Drosophila melanogaster: one gene and its partners. Changing the gene in region 3 together with the main gene of any one other region gives a genetic interaction. Each region holds a gene or a part of one and is shown on either strand. Other genes may lie near its edges. The genes, in order: mad2, wek and pll.

The links.
Region 1: of pll (region 3) and mad2, changing one suppresses a phenotype caused by changing the other (phenotypic suppression), as found in Drosophila melanogaster (one study listed by BioGRID).
Region 2: of pll (region 3) and wek, changing one enhances a phenotype caused by changing the other (phenotypic enhancement), as found in Drosophila melanogaster (one study listed by BioGRID).

Annotation. Positions count from the first base shown.
Region 1 is NT_037436.4:5,811,517-5,814,975, forward strand, and holds mad2 (mad2), read right to left. Parts: upstream 1,578-3,459; 5' UTR 1,499-1,577; coding exon 1,426-1,498; intron 1,346-1,425; coding exon 1,199-1,345; intron 1,138-1,198; coding exon 734-1,137; 3' UTR 619-733; downstream 1-618. Other genes in the region: kri (krishah), read left to right, coding at 1-402, 549-559; vn (vein), read right to left, coding at 3,299-3,350.
Region 2 is NT_033779.5:15,765,633-15,770,336, reverse strand, and holds wek (weckle), read left to right. Parts: upstream 1-1,987; 5' UTR 1,988-2,105; coding exon 2,106-2,231; intron 2,232-2,291; coding exon 2,292-3,197; intron 3,198-3,257; coding exon 3,258-3,604; intron 3,605-3,668; coding exon 3,669-3,702; 3' UTR 3,703-4,204; downstream 4,205-4,704. Other genes in the region: Ku80, read left to right, coding at 1-1,598; CG3793 (uncharacterized protein), read right to left, coding at 4,626-4,662. UniProt on the Drosophila melanogaster protein: Acts as an adapter to assemble/stabilize a Toll/wek/Myd88/tube complex; required for efficient recruitment of Myd88 to Toll. Dispensable for innate immune response; plays a minimal role, if any, in the immune defense against Gram-positive bacteria and fungi.
Region 3 is NT_033777.3:27,250,502-27,254,746, reverse strand, and holds pll (pelle), read left to right. Parts: upstream 1-1,564; 5' UTR 1,565-1,789; coding exon 1,790-2,109; intron 2,110-2,167; coding exon 2,168-2,833; intron 2,834-2,896; coding exon 2,897-3,416; 3' UTR 3,417-3,616; downstream 3,617-4,245. Other genes in the region: TfIIA-L (transcription factor IIA L), read right to left, coding at 19-219, 1,122-1,145; TTLL6B (tubulin tyrosine ligase-like 6B), read left to right, coding at 3,915-4,245. UniProt on the Drosophila melanogaster protein: Plays an essential role in the Tl receptor signaling pathway that establishes embryonic dorsoventral polarity; the signal directs import of dl into ventral and ventrolateral nuclei, thereby establishing dorsoventral polarity.

The DNA of each region.
Region 1 (3,459 bases), on a different chromosome or scaffold from region 3:
TGAAGTATCGCTCCGGCAACTGCGGCGTGTCCATCATCCGATCGGGAGAGGCCATGGAGCAGGGACTGCGTGACTGCTGTCGCTCCATTCGCATTGGAAAGATCCTGGTCGAGTCCGATGCCAATACGCATGAGGCCCGCGTGGTTTATGCCCGCTTTCCCGATGACATCGGCAGCAGGCAGGTGCTACTCATGTACCCCATCATGTCCACGGGCAACACTGTGCTGCAGGCGGTGAATGTGCTGCGGGAACACGGCGTACCCGAGAGCTGCATCATCCTGTCCAATCTCTTCTGCACACCCATTGCCGCTCGGACCGTAGTGAATGCCTTCCCCAAGCTGAAGATCCTCACCTCCGAGCTGCATCCCGTGGCACCTAATCACTTTGGCCAGAAATACTTCGGTACAGACTAGATACTTGGGTCTATCTCGCAGACTTGACGACTAAGCGCTGCTTAGGATAGGTAGCTGTCGCCCAGACAAACGCCCTTTCCTGCGTTGCGCTCCACTAACAAATGCTACCCTCTCTCACTCTGTTTCGTCCTCCAGATTGCATTTGAGACACACAGACAAATAGACGACCCCTGCGGCCAACCAAACTACTACTTAGCAACTGTTAGCTTTTCACAACTGGCTTTTAATGCAACTCTCAAATACGTTACGTTCGTTACGCACTATTGTAAATATAGAAACGAAATAAATATTTAAACATTAGGATGAGGCGGTACTGCCTTTTAAGTGCTCATCTTGTAGTTGACCACGGTGTCCACCTTGTGCAGTCCTGTAGAAAAGGAGCGCAGCTGGACGGCCTGCGGATTCTGTATGACAATGGCACCCGTTTCGTCCCATTTGGCCGGTAATTCGGTGTTCTGCAGCGTGTGAATCATTATGTCGAAGGTGCAGATGCAATCGAGCAGTGGCAAATAGCTCACGGTGGCCGAGATCTGCCGCATAACGTCGCGAATCTCGTTCTGTATGCGACTCAGCTCCTTGGTGGTTGTTGCCTTGGTGGGATCACTGATATCGCCATCGCCCAACTCGGCCTGCATATTAAAGTCCCAGCACTCGAGCACCTCCTTGGTGTGGGCGTTCGTAATGACCATCGAGATCTTGTTGATCATGTTCTTCGAGAGCCATTCTATAGGTGAATACAAATAATGGTCACCATAAACTTGAATTTTTTCCAAAAGACCACTAACCTTCAGTTTGGCTGAGCACGTTCTGCAGAAAGGTCTTGATCTTGGGATCCTTGGACATTAGAATGGTTAGCCCATACTGCTGCGTGTTGTTAAAGTCTTCGGCTGGGTAAATTCCGCGTTGGAAGAGGATCGAATTGATGCCGTACTCTATTTAGGAAAAAAAAAGAACCAGAGACGCCATTGCAGGCGAACTTACAGACGCTTTCGTGACGTAGCTTGCTACTCACTCAGGTATTCCACAATAATCTGAGCGGAGCCCTTGAGTGTGATGCAGTTTTTGGTCGCCTGGGCAGTTGACATGTTGATTTAAGTCGATTTAAGTGGGAGAGAAATTAACAATTTGCTAAATTGCCGCTATTTTTGAAAGGTGTTGACTAGCAGAGATGACAGAAGCTCGATATACATTCGATACGTTTGTCTGCAATATATCGATAAATATCGGTGAATGTACTCGCTAAATTCAGTATATTTCTATATTTGGTGTGTGTATTGGCTATGCGACCAGGGATGGTGGAACCAGGGATGGCTAACTCCGACCAGTGCTGCCAAGCAATTCCCAAAGGGCGGCATATTTAAATTCATCAATTTATTTGCGCAATAAAATCAAAACACAATTATTGATTGCAACAAATTCAGAATTTTATTGGCCATCCTTGTGTAAACTAAATCTAAGCATGAGATCCATTTCTGAGCGCAAAAGTAATTCCGCGTGGTTCGGCCTAATGGGTTCCATCCGGTTCATCGTATTCCTGCCAAGAGACTAAAATAAGACAAGACTTTGATATAGCCAGAACAATAGAGGACCCAGTTAATCTATGCTATCCAAAACCTAGCTCGGTTCGTCAGAGCCTTGATTACTCTGCCCTCTGATTTGACAGAAAAGATCAGCAAAAGCAGAGCAGCAAATCATAAACGAAGTACAAGAAGCCACAGTGAACAAGAACAGAATATCAGACCAAATCAAAAAGCAATCGATGTTTGTAAAATGTGAATTATTTGCAAATTTTTAATTAAGTTTTTTCTTACGCATCGTTTTGTTTGTTTTTGTTGTTTTTTTTTCGTTTTTGTTTGTTTAATGTTTTGTTTTAAATTAAAATTAAACTTTACATGGTATTTTTGGTATAAATCTTTCAATAATTAAATATATAAAAAATTTGCCACTTAAAATAACTAAAAATAATCTCTACGCACTTTCTTGCTTTACGCCTAGCCATACAAACTGATGTCAACATACACATTGTGAAGAAATAAAAACTAATTTGCCATTTTACATATTTTGGTGTTGAAATTGCGCAAATCCAAAAAAAACGAGGACAAATAAAATAGTATTTCGAAATTAAGTAGCTCCATGGTGTCTGTGTGGGGTGTTCGTGTGTGTGTGTGTGTGTGTGTGTGAGCTTATAGCTATAATTACGTTTAATTTAGGTGTAATTAAATACAATAAATTACGGTTAAAGAAGGGCTTGCATTACCTTAGTTGAAATGTACACAAAACTTATCGTTAGTTAAAACGAGAGCTATTTACAGGATTTATTACAAAGTTCTCGGCTACGTCAACCTTTGTTATCATTTTAAAATTATTGTCTATGATACAACAACAAAAGCGCAACAATGTCAAAGTCAGGGTCGAATCGGTAATGCTTTGCTCTCGAACTTTGAACCGCAAACTTCGATCTTAGATGTTATATGTATGTGATATATTTCGTAAAATAAATAATTTAAAATTCTGCTCAGCTTTCATACATCCGATTTATACATTTAAGATATTCTGTCACCGTGCACAAGAACAAACGTAGCTAAAGTCAGTCTGGATCTGGAACTTTTCGCTCGGGAAGAAGGAACTCTAGGCGAGGGGAATTGTACGAATTTTGAAATGTTTTCTGTTTTCTGTTTTCGGATATGTATTCTTTGTAGTTGCAAACTTTGAGAACGGTGATGGGTTTTTGGGCATGGTCAGCTGGTGCAACAAATTCTCTAATTTTTTAATAAACGTAAAAAATTACAATTGTCCACGTTTTTGGAGTGCAGGGAGTTCGATTTTTTTTTTGTTTTTCGTTTTGTTTATAAAATCATAAAAATAATGAAACAAAATTCTATGCATTAATAGTCGTTATTTAAGGTATGTATTTGGCCGTAGATTGCAACAAAATATCTGTGAAGAGATTAAATTATAAATAAAATTAAAAATTAATCTTTCAGTTCTTCATTTACTGCTAACTAAAAGCTGGCTAACACCATTTCCACAATTAGGGGCAACTACA
Region 2 (4,704 bases), on a different chromosome or scaffold from region 3:
CTTCTCAGCCTCAGGCTATTTTCAACTTTTCGCGCAAATGCGGCCCCGATGAGCTGAATAACCAGAAGTACGCCCTCAGTCTCGTTCCTCGCTGCAATGCGACGTTGTGCAGCTTCAAGGAGGCACTGCATACCGTCTTCAAGGTGACCAACCGGCGACCCTGGGTGTGGAACGCAAAGCTGAACATCGGCAGCAAGATCTCCATTAGCCTGCAGGGCATAATCGCCATGAAGAACCAGACGCCCGTAAAGCTGGTAAAGGTCTGGGCGGAAAAGGATGAGATAGTGATACGGGAGACTCGTCATTATATCAAAGGCACTGAGATCACCCCGCTGCCGGAGAATCTGATAACCGGTTACATGCTGGGCGGCACTCCGGTGCCATACGACGAGGCCGTGCTAGAGCCAAAGGAACCACACCCACCTGGTCTCCACTTCTTTGGCTTTATCAAAAGAAATGCCGTGCCGGATGAGTACTTTTGTGGCGAGTCCTTGTACCTCCTGGTGCATCAGAAGCACAATCAATCTGCCGCCGTGAAGCTGGACGCTCTGGTGCGTGCTCTCGTTTCTTCGGATCGGGCCATACTGTGCTGGAAAATATATAGCACCAAGTTTAATAGACCGCAAATGGTTGTGCTACTGCCCCGCTTAGCAGACGATACCCATCCGGCTACTTTGTATATGCTGGAAGTTTCCTATACGTCTCAGCACCACTTCTGGGACTTTCCGGCACTGCGAACCACCAAGACGGAGTGCAGCGAGGAACAGCTGAATGCCATTGATCAGTTAATCGATAGCACCGATCTGGAGTGCACACTGCGGGACACGCAGCAGCCACGTCCGTGGGCGCAGAATGATCTGCTGCCGTTCGACGCACTTCCCAGCATCTTTGAGCAGAATGTCATGGACATCCTAGAGCGAAAAGTTATCTATGATAACGACAAGGAAGACAAAATGCTTAAGGACAAAAACTTCGCAGATGTATTCTGGCGAGTGCCAGATCCCTTGGAGGAGAAGTCAAAGAGAGCGGCAGCCATCGTAAAGAAGCTATTTCCATTGCGCTATAGTCGCGCCTGGCAGGAAAAGCTGTTGGCCAAGGAGCAGGCAGAGAATGGTGTGGCAGTCAAGTCGGAACCAGCGGAGAAGGAAATCCCGTTGCCATCAGACGGTGTGGGCTTAATTGATCCAATCTCTGATTTCAGGCGAGTCCTGGCTAGCGTTCACACAATCAGTAATGCCACTGAGCGAGATGCCCGCTTTCAGGCGCTGGCTGCCGATACCCGCGTGGTGATCATCACACTGCTGCAGCGCAGGAAACAGAACATCGGGCAACTGGGCGAGCTCATCACCCTGTACCGACAGAGCTGTATAGACTTCAACACCTTTTTGGAATACGACAAGTTCGCTGAGGAGCTGAAGAAGATCGCGCTGGCCAAGAATCGCAGCGAATTCTGGCAAGACGTTATGGTCGACAAGCAATTGGGCCCTTTGGTGCTTGGCGAGCCGACGCTGGACGACGAATTGGCTCTAAAAGCCTATTACACCATCGAGAATTGGGTGGAGAGTGGGGCGAACGATATGGAAGACGTTGAGATGTAGTTTATCATTCCATTTTGTTATATTAAGCAAATGTGCTAAAATTAGTTTTTGTTATACACAGTTTTTCTTATATGTAAGTCGAAAATAAATTATTATATTGTTTATATATATATACCAGAGTAAAAACTCGGTCGCATGTTTTAAAAACAACATTATATCCCTGGGAAACCACATCCAAATGATGATGATAATACATCTCTATGTTAATAAACATCGACACGCAGGAAGGAAAACGTTAGTAATACTTCTTATGATTGAGAAAAAAAAGTAAAATAAATACAATTTTCAATTCCAAATTTAAACTGAATACTTTTTGAAAATGGCGGCAACAACTTGTTGTTTTGCACTTATCGATATTTCCAAAAATCATCGGAGTGCGCATACCAATTAATCGATTCGGAATTCCGCTCCATACAGCTGATTTTAATCAGCGCTTTGGCAATAGAATTTAGTCAAAACCCGAGGGCATACTGTACCAAACTGTGGGGCTTCTGTTGAGGATTAGCCATGGGAGTTCCCACAAGCGATTGGATATACTGGTGTCGCCTGTGCGCCCGCGACGACGTTGTATACAAAGTGCGCGAGCGGGACGACGATCTGGTTAGGATTATCAGCAAATGCTTTGATGTGGAGGTATGTTATTCGTTTTCCCAGCCTACAGATAGCTTATACATTAGTTTTCCACACACGCAGATGACCCTCGAGGAACCGGAACTGGGCAGCATGTTGTGCGAGGAGTGCTACTCGGTGATTGGCCAGCTGATCACCTTCTCGGATAGCGTTTCCAAAGTACAAGCCATTTTTGAGCTTCTGCGACACTCGGAGCCGCAGGATAGCCAGGACTTGGACGCCCTGCGTCTGGAATACGGCCTTCCGCCGGCCTGCAAGCAGGACCTCGAGTTCCTGGACATAGACGATACGGAGGATAGGTGTTCCTTGGTAGAGGAGCTAACGATATCAGACCATTCCACATCTCCGTCACCCGATTTTGAAGCACAGACCGTGCGAACACGAGCTAATCTCAAACAGTGTAATTCCGATCCCAAAGTGCTAGCCTCACCTACTGCATCAATTCCTGAAGTTGAAACAAAACGAAGTCGCCGACAGCAGTTTGCGGCTAAGCGAAATTCCAAAGTGTACACTGCAACCGAGTCGGATGATGAGGAGGCCATTCTAGACGAAGACGAGGCCGTATCCCCGCCGCCTTTGAAGCGAAAAAGAGGCAGACCCAAGGGCTCAGGCAAACAGAAAAACGTGGACGACAGCGATAACGTAACTTCCCGCGAACCAGACGACAATGCTAAATCCAAACAAGATGACAAGACATCCGAATTGAGCATGTCACCCCATGGCTCCCAGAGTTCGAATTTCGTCGATTATCCCTGCAAAATCTGCAACGAAACCTTTATGTCCTTCATGGCTCTGCGCAGGCACAAGCACGACATGCACGGCGGTCCGAAGAAATACGTTTGCGATCACTGCGGAAAGGGTTTGAAGACCTTCACATCGCTGGTGGAGCACCAGCTGGTTCACACGGAAGAGAAGCCCTGTATATGCCCCGTCTGCAATGCTGGTTTTAAGAACAAAGCTAGGCTGAGAGTAAGTCATCGAATAATCTTGTGGACCAACTAAATCTTGAAATTTGTATACAATTTCCAGGTGCACAGTCAGACACATGGTGAGCCCAAGTTTGAGTGCAATGTCTGCGGCAAAAAGCTGCAGACACGGGCGATTCTTAACAAGCACAAGTATGTGCACACGGATGAGCGGCGCTTCAAGTGCGAGGTTTGTGGCAGCGGCTGTAAGAACTCCACGGCCTTGAAGATCCATCTCCTTGGACACACCGGCCTCAGACCCTACGTATGCAAGTACTGCGGAAAGGCGTTCGCCAGCAACACCAACTGTCGCTCCCACAAATGGAAAAAACATCCGGAACTGGCGTCCAAGGAGGATGAAACCGAATCTTCACGTGTTCCAGTGCCAACATTGGAAGAACTGAGAGCGATGTAAGCTATAGTCATGCATATTATTATTATTAGCTTACTATTGTACTAAATTTTTGGTTTGCAGAACTCGCGAGATGGCCAAGGCCAAACAGGATTAGACCATGTTGGTTGACAAAAATGTATAAATAGCAGTGCGCAGTAAAATTTTATCCCAGAGACATTTACATTTACACTTAATTAAACACACAACTGCCCTTTTTGCATTTAAATTGGTTTTTAATAAGTTTCAAAATAAATTCACTTTTTAAACGCACACTTAAATTGGGAAATGTGTTCACACATGAAAATGACATTGTATAAAAGATAATAATTGTTTGACTCACAATGTAGATTTAAAAATAACAATTGTAATTTGTGACACCAAATTATGCGTACACTTTGAAACACTCAATTGAAACTCCTGTGAGCGGTTGCAGCATATTTTAAAGATGAGCGCTATTCATAGAACTCCCACGCATGGTTCACTAGATTGCGACAAGTTGGTCTGTAGATAATTCCAAGGGCTTATTCACAATAAAATCAGTTTGAAATTATAACTCAGCAAATGTAAATGCTTCGTGCTAACACCAGATACATTGACACCTAATTAAACACACAACGGCCCTTTTTGCATTTAAGTTGGTTTTTTTTTTAATAATTTCAAAATACATTTACAATTTAAACGCACACTTAAATTGGGGAATGAATGAATGGCATATTGATCACCTATCAATATTTTGTGCCACAACTCGGTGATAAAATAGTAAATATTAAGCGATTAAATAATAAAAATGTAACAAGAGAAAAAAATATAAGGAACAACTAAATTAATACAAATTAGATCATTTGTGAGTGGGTCTCTGTGTAGGATAAATATCTAAACATGTTTTGATTTCGATGGTTTCTCTTTAATTACTTGCTGTTTAGGTTAACACGTTGAGAAGCAAAATATTTTGGCATGGCCTTCCTCCAAACCGAGCAGAGTCAATAAATAGTGCATCCAAGTAGGTTGGCTCTCTATCCCTTCCACCTTCACTCACTCCTAGTCAATGTTCAGCGAGGACATTAACTCTTCGACGCTGCATGGAAATAGAGGAAAGAAAAAATCATGTTGATTAAAC
Region 3 (4,245 bases):
GGGCTCCGTTTCGCTTACCTTTGGATTGTTGGCCACGATGGGTGGCGGATGGGAGCCATCGCCGGAGTCCGGGCTCAGCTCGACGGCCTTGCTAGCAAGCAACTTGTTGCGCCAGACCTGCTTCATCTCCTGCAGCACCTGTTCGTCGACGCCCTCGTCCAGGAACGCGTCCCGCACATTTGTGATGACGTCCTCGATCACGGCATGGTACACCTTCAGCTGCGGGCGAGAGGGGATGCGGTTAATTGTGTATAATTAAATTTGAAATGCACGACAAATCTGGGCTTGTGTTGACTTAAACACTCATTATATTATCGCGGCTCAACTTCACGCTATTAGGGCCTAAACAGTTGGGGGTAAAACAATAGGGATTGCGCAAAAAATCCACGAAGCAAGTAAAGGGCAAGACGCTATAGAAGTTGAAAATGTGGCGCACAGTATGTGGTGAGCCTTTTTGAGCTCCCATTAAAATTCAGACGCAGCTGTAATGTGAATATGCAAAACGCAAATAAAGTATGTAAATTATTTGTTTGCGAAGAATGTCGCAGTGCACATATGTACATAGATACCATGCATATGCTGGTATATATATATATGTACATTGTACATATATATACACCGGTATGCCAGTTGCTTGTTTTATTAATAGTTTGTTTTGCGTTATCAGCGGACGATAAGGAAGGAGGCCCCGACTTGTAGATAATAGCACAAGCTACGCAGCGTGTATTACTGCTAAATATAACCCCCCATGGGAGTTTGAAGTACTACGCGGAAAAGCCGAAAATCGGAAAATCCAGAGGGCAAGAAACATACAAAACTGCAAGGCAACGAACGCACTAACACAGCGACATCCAGACAGACACGCACTCGCATGCACACACATCCACACCCGAGAGGTTTGCAGTTTTGGTATCTCGGATTTCAGCAGTTGTAACTATCGTTTTGTAGTAACTACCATGACCACTGGGAAAGCTTTCACTTTCCCGCGTGGGCGGCGGAAGGAGGTGAAGCTGGAGGAAATGGAGAAACTCCTTGGTAGGATGCCTTCCATATGTCGAATGCAATGGAGCCACCGCCGCTGACACAATTACCGGATCTCGGGGATCCAGCCGCACACTCACCACCGATGTCTGGCATAGCGCCATTTGGACCTTTTTCTCCGCCAGCTTGAGGCTTTTCCGTTCGCTGGTGGGGCTAATTGACGTATTTGCTGAATTATAAATGGGCGAAGCGAAGAATTAGCGATAGCGATGCGTTCGTGACGGTGTCAGCAGTGTGGCCACCTGCGGGGCACTTGAAAACGACGCATGTCCGCCAAACTGCAAGGCTCATTTGGTCATACACTAATTGCCTTTGGTATTTTTTAAGATATTTTAGTATACAAAATACTGTGCAAATTACATAAAATATGTGGAGGTTATTTAAAATCTATTTAATATTTTCATACAGCAAATACCTTTTTAATAATTACTCTGCTTTCTTTTTACTTCTGAATTTTAAACAGTGGCTCCTAAGCATCTACCACTTTTTCGAGTGTATTATTTGCTAGACATTGGCAGCGTTGCCAGACTGCTTCGCTCTGTTAAGCTGCTTTATCACTTGTTGCGCCGCTGTTAACAAGTCATCCACAGGTTTTCATCGAATCGCGTTGGGAATTTACCCAAAAGCGATTTTCGTTTCGCTGCAACAGGTTACCAGCGCCGCCAACCCCTCATCCAACGGGCACTCTTGCATCCGGAGCCGCATGAATCAGTCGCAACCGGTTGAACCGCCCGCCCATAAGTGAAAGATGAGTGGCGTCCAGACCGCCGAAGCCGAGGCGCAGGCCCAAAACCAAGCGAATGGCAACAGGACCAGGTCGCGTTCCCACTTGGACAACACAATGGCCATCCGACTGCTGCCGTTGCCCGTGCGAGCCCAGCTATGTGCCCACTTGGATGCCCTAGACGTATGGCAACAGCTGGCCACGGCCGTAAAACTCTATCCCGACCAGGTGGAGCAGATAAGCAGCCAGAAGCAGCGTGGCCGCTCAGCCTCCAATGAGTTCCTCAACATTTGGGGCGGTCAGTACAATCACACGGTGCAAACATTGTTTGCTTTGTTCAAAAAGTGAGTCAGTTTGAGATAATAACCGCCGAGATCCCAGAAATGACTCCTCTTACTTTAGATTGAAGCTTCATAACGCCATGCGTCTGATCAAAGATTACGTTAGCGAGGATCTGCACAAGTACATACCGAGGAGCGTGCCCACCATCAGCGAGCTGCGCGCTGCTCCCGATTCCAGTGCCAAAGTAAACAACGGCCCGCCGTTTCCCTCCTCCTCGGGCGTCAGCAACTCAAACAACAATCGCACCAGCACAACGGCAACGGAGGAGATACCCAGCCTGGAGTCCCTGGGCAATATACACATTAGCACCGTACAGCGGGCAGCCGAATCCTTGCTGGAGATCGATTATGCGGAGCTAGAAAACGCCACGGACGGCTGGAGTCCGGATAATCGACTGGGACAGGGCGGATTCGGAGACGTGTACCGCGGCAAATGGAAGCAACTGGACGTGGCCATCAAGGTGATGAACTACCGCAGTCCCAACATCGACCAGAAAATGGTGGAGCTGCAGCAGAGCTACAACGAACTCAAGTATTTAAACAGCATCCGGCACGACAATATCCTGGCCCTCTACGGATACAGCATCAAAGGTGGTAAGCCGTGCCTCGTCTACCAGCTGATGAAGGGCGGCTCCCTGGAGGCTCGTTTACGAGCGCATAAGGCACAAAACCCACTACCAGCACTCACCTGGCAGCAGCGGTTTAGCATCAGCCTCGGCACGGCTAGGTGGGATTTATCGTTTCTTTAGTGCTATCAATCTTCTTTAACTTTTCATTTCGTTTCCAAAAGAGGCATCTACTTTCTGCACACGGCGCGAGGCACACCGCTGATTCATGGAGATATTAAGCCGGCCAACATCCTGCTGGACCAATGTCTGCAGCCAAAAATCGGAGACTTCGGTCTGGTGCGCGAGGGTCCCAAGTCCTTGGACGCTGTGGTGGAAGTGAATAAAGTTTTCGGCACTAAGATCTACCTGCCACCGGAGTTCCGCAACTTCAGACAACTCAGCACGGGCGTGGACGTCTACAGCTTCGGCATTGTGCTGTTGGAGGTGTTCACGGGTCGTCAGGTGACGGATCGCGTGCCGGAAAACGAGACGAAGAAGAATTTGCTGGACTACGTTAAGCAGCAGTGGCGGCAAAACCGGATGGAGCTGCTAGAGAAGCACTTAGCAGCACCGATGGGCAAGGAGCTGGACATGTGCATGTGCGCCATCGAGGCGGGCTTGCACTGTACTGCCCTGGATCCGCAGGATCGCCCATCCATGAACGCGGTGCTCAAGCGTTTCGAACCGTTTGTTACCGACTAGATGGGCCTTATTATGTTACCATTTTATTGACGAACTTGAAAAGCTCGAAGGACCATTTGTAAACCATTTCCACATTTTGTGATCAATCGCAATATATATTTTTAACTTTAACATTCCAACGAAAATTTCCCTAAAGACTTATTGTTATGCTTAAATTGTAAATGCTTACCCTATTGTTTATTAAATATTTTTGTACACTTAGTTGTTAGTGGTATGTTTGATGTTCGGAGAAACTAAATTTATGATATGCCCCAAATCGATGATTTAAAACTCAAACGACTCAAGCGACGTGGCCAGTGGAGCTACGTTTTGATTTTAGCGTCATTTCGGTTATAATTATTTTCATTTTCACAACACAATCATCGCAAAATAATATTGTTTTTATTCGTGACGCAGAATTCCGGCTCTAACCATTGACACGAATCAATTTTATAGATATAGCTTTTAGCACGTGAAAAATTTTCAATTTTTAATCAAGGACGACCAGCGGACGAGACAATGAATTTAAAAAATTCCAAGTTTTTCAAGAGGATTCAGGAGCTGCGCCACTTCTCCAAGGAGAAAATACGGAAGGATCGCGAAAAGAGGACCCACGTTGTTCGCGCCCTGGACATGGCTCTTAATGAGCAGCCGTGCTTGGACCGGGAATGGTTCAGTCCGGAGCAATCACCGCCACTGCAGCCCATGTCCCCACGCCGCCGGATGAAGAAGACCCGGTGCCTCAAGAGGAGGACAGCCGCCGACAAGCAAGTGGATGATAACTCCCCATATTACGGACCATCTTCTGGTGAAAACAGCCCAATGCCTGCTGAGGAAGCCAAGCTGCAGG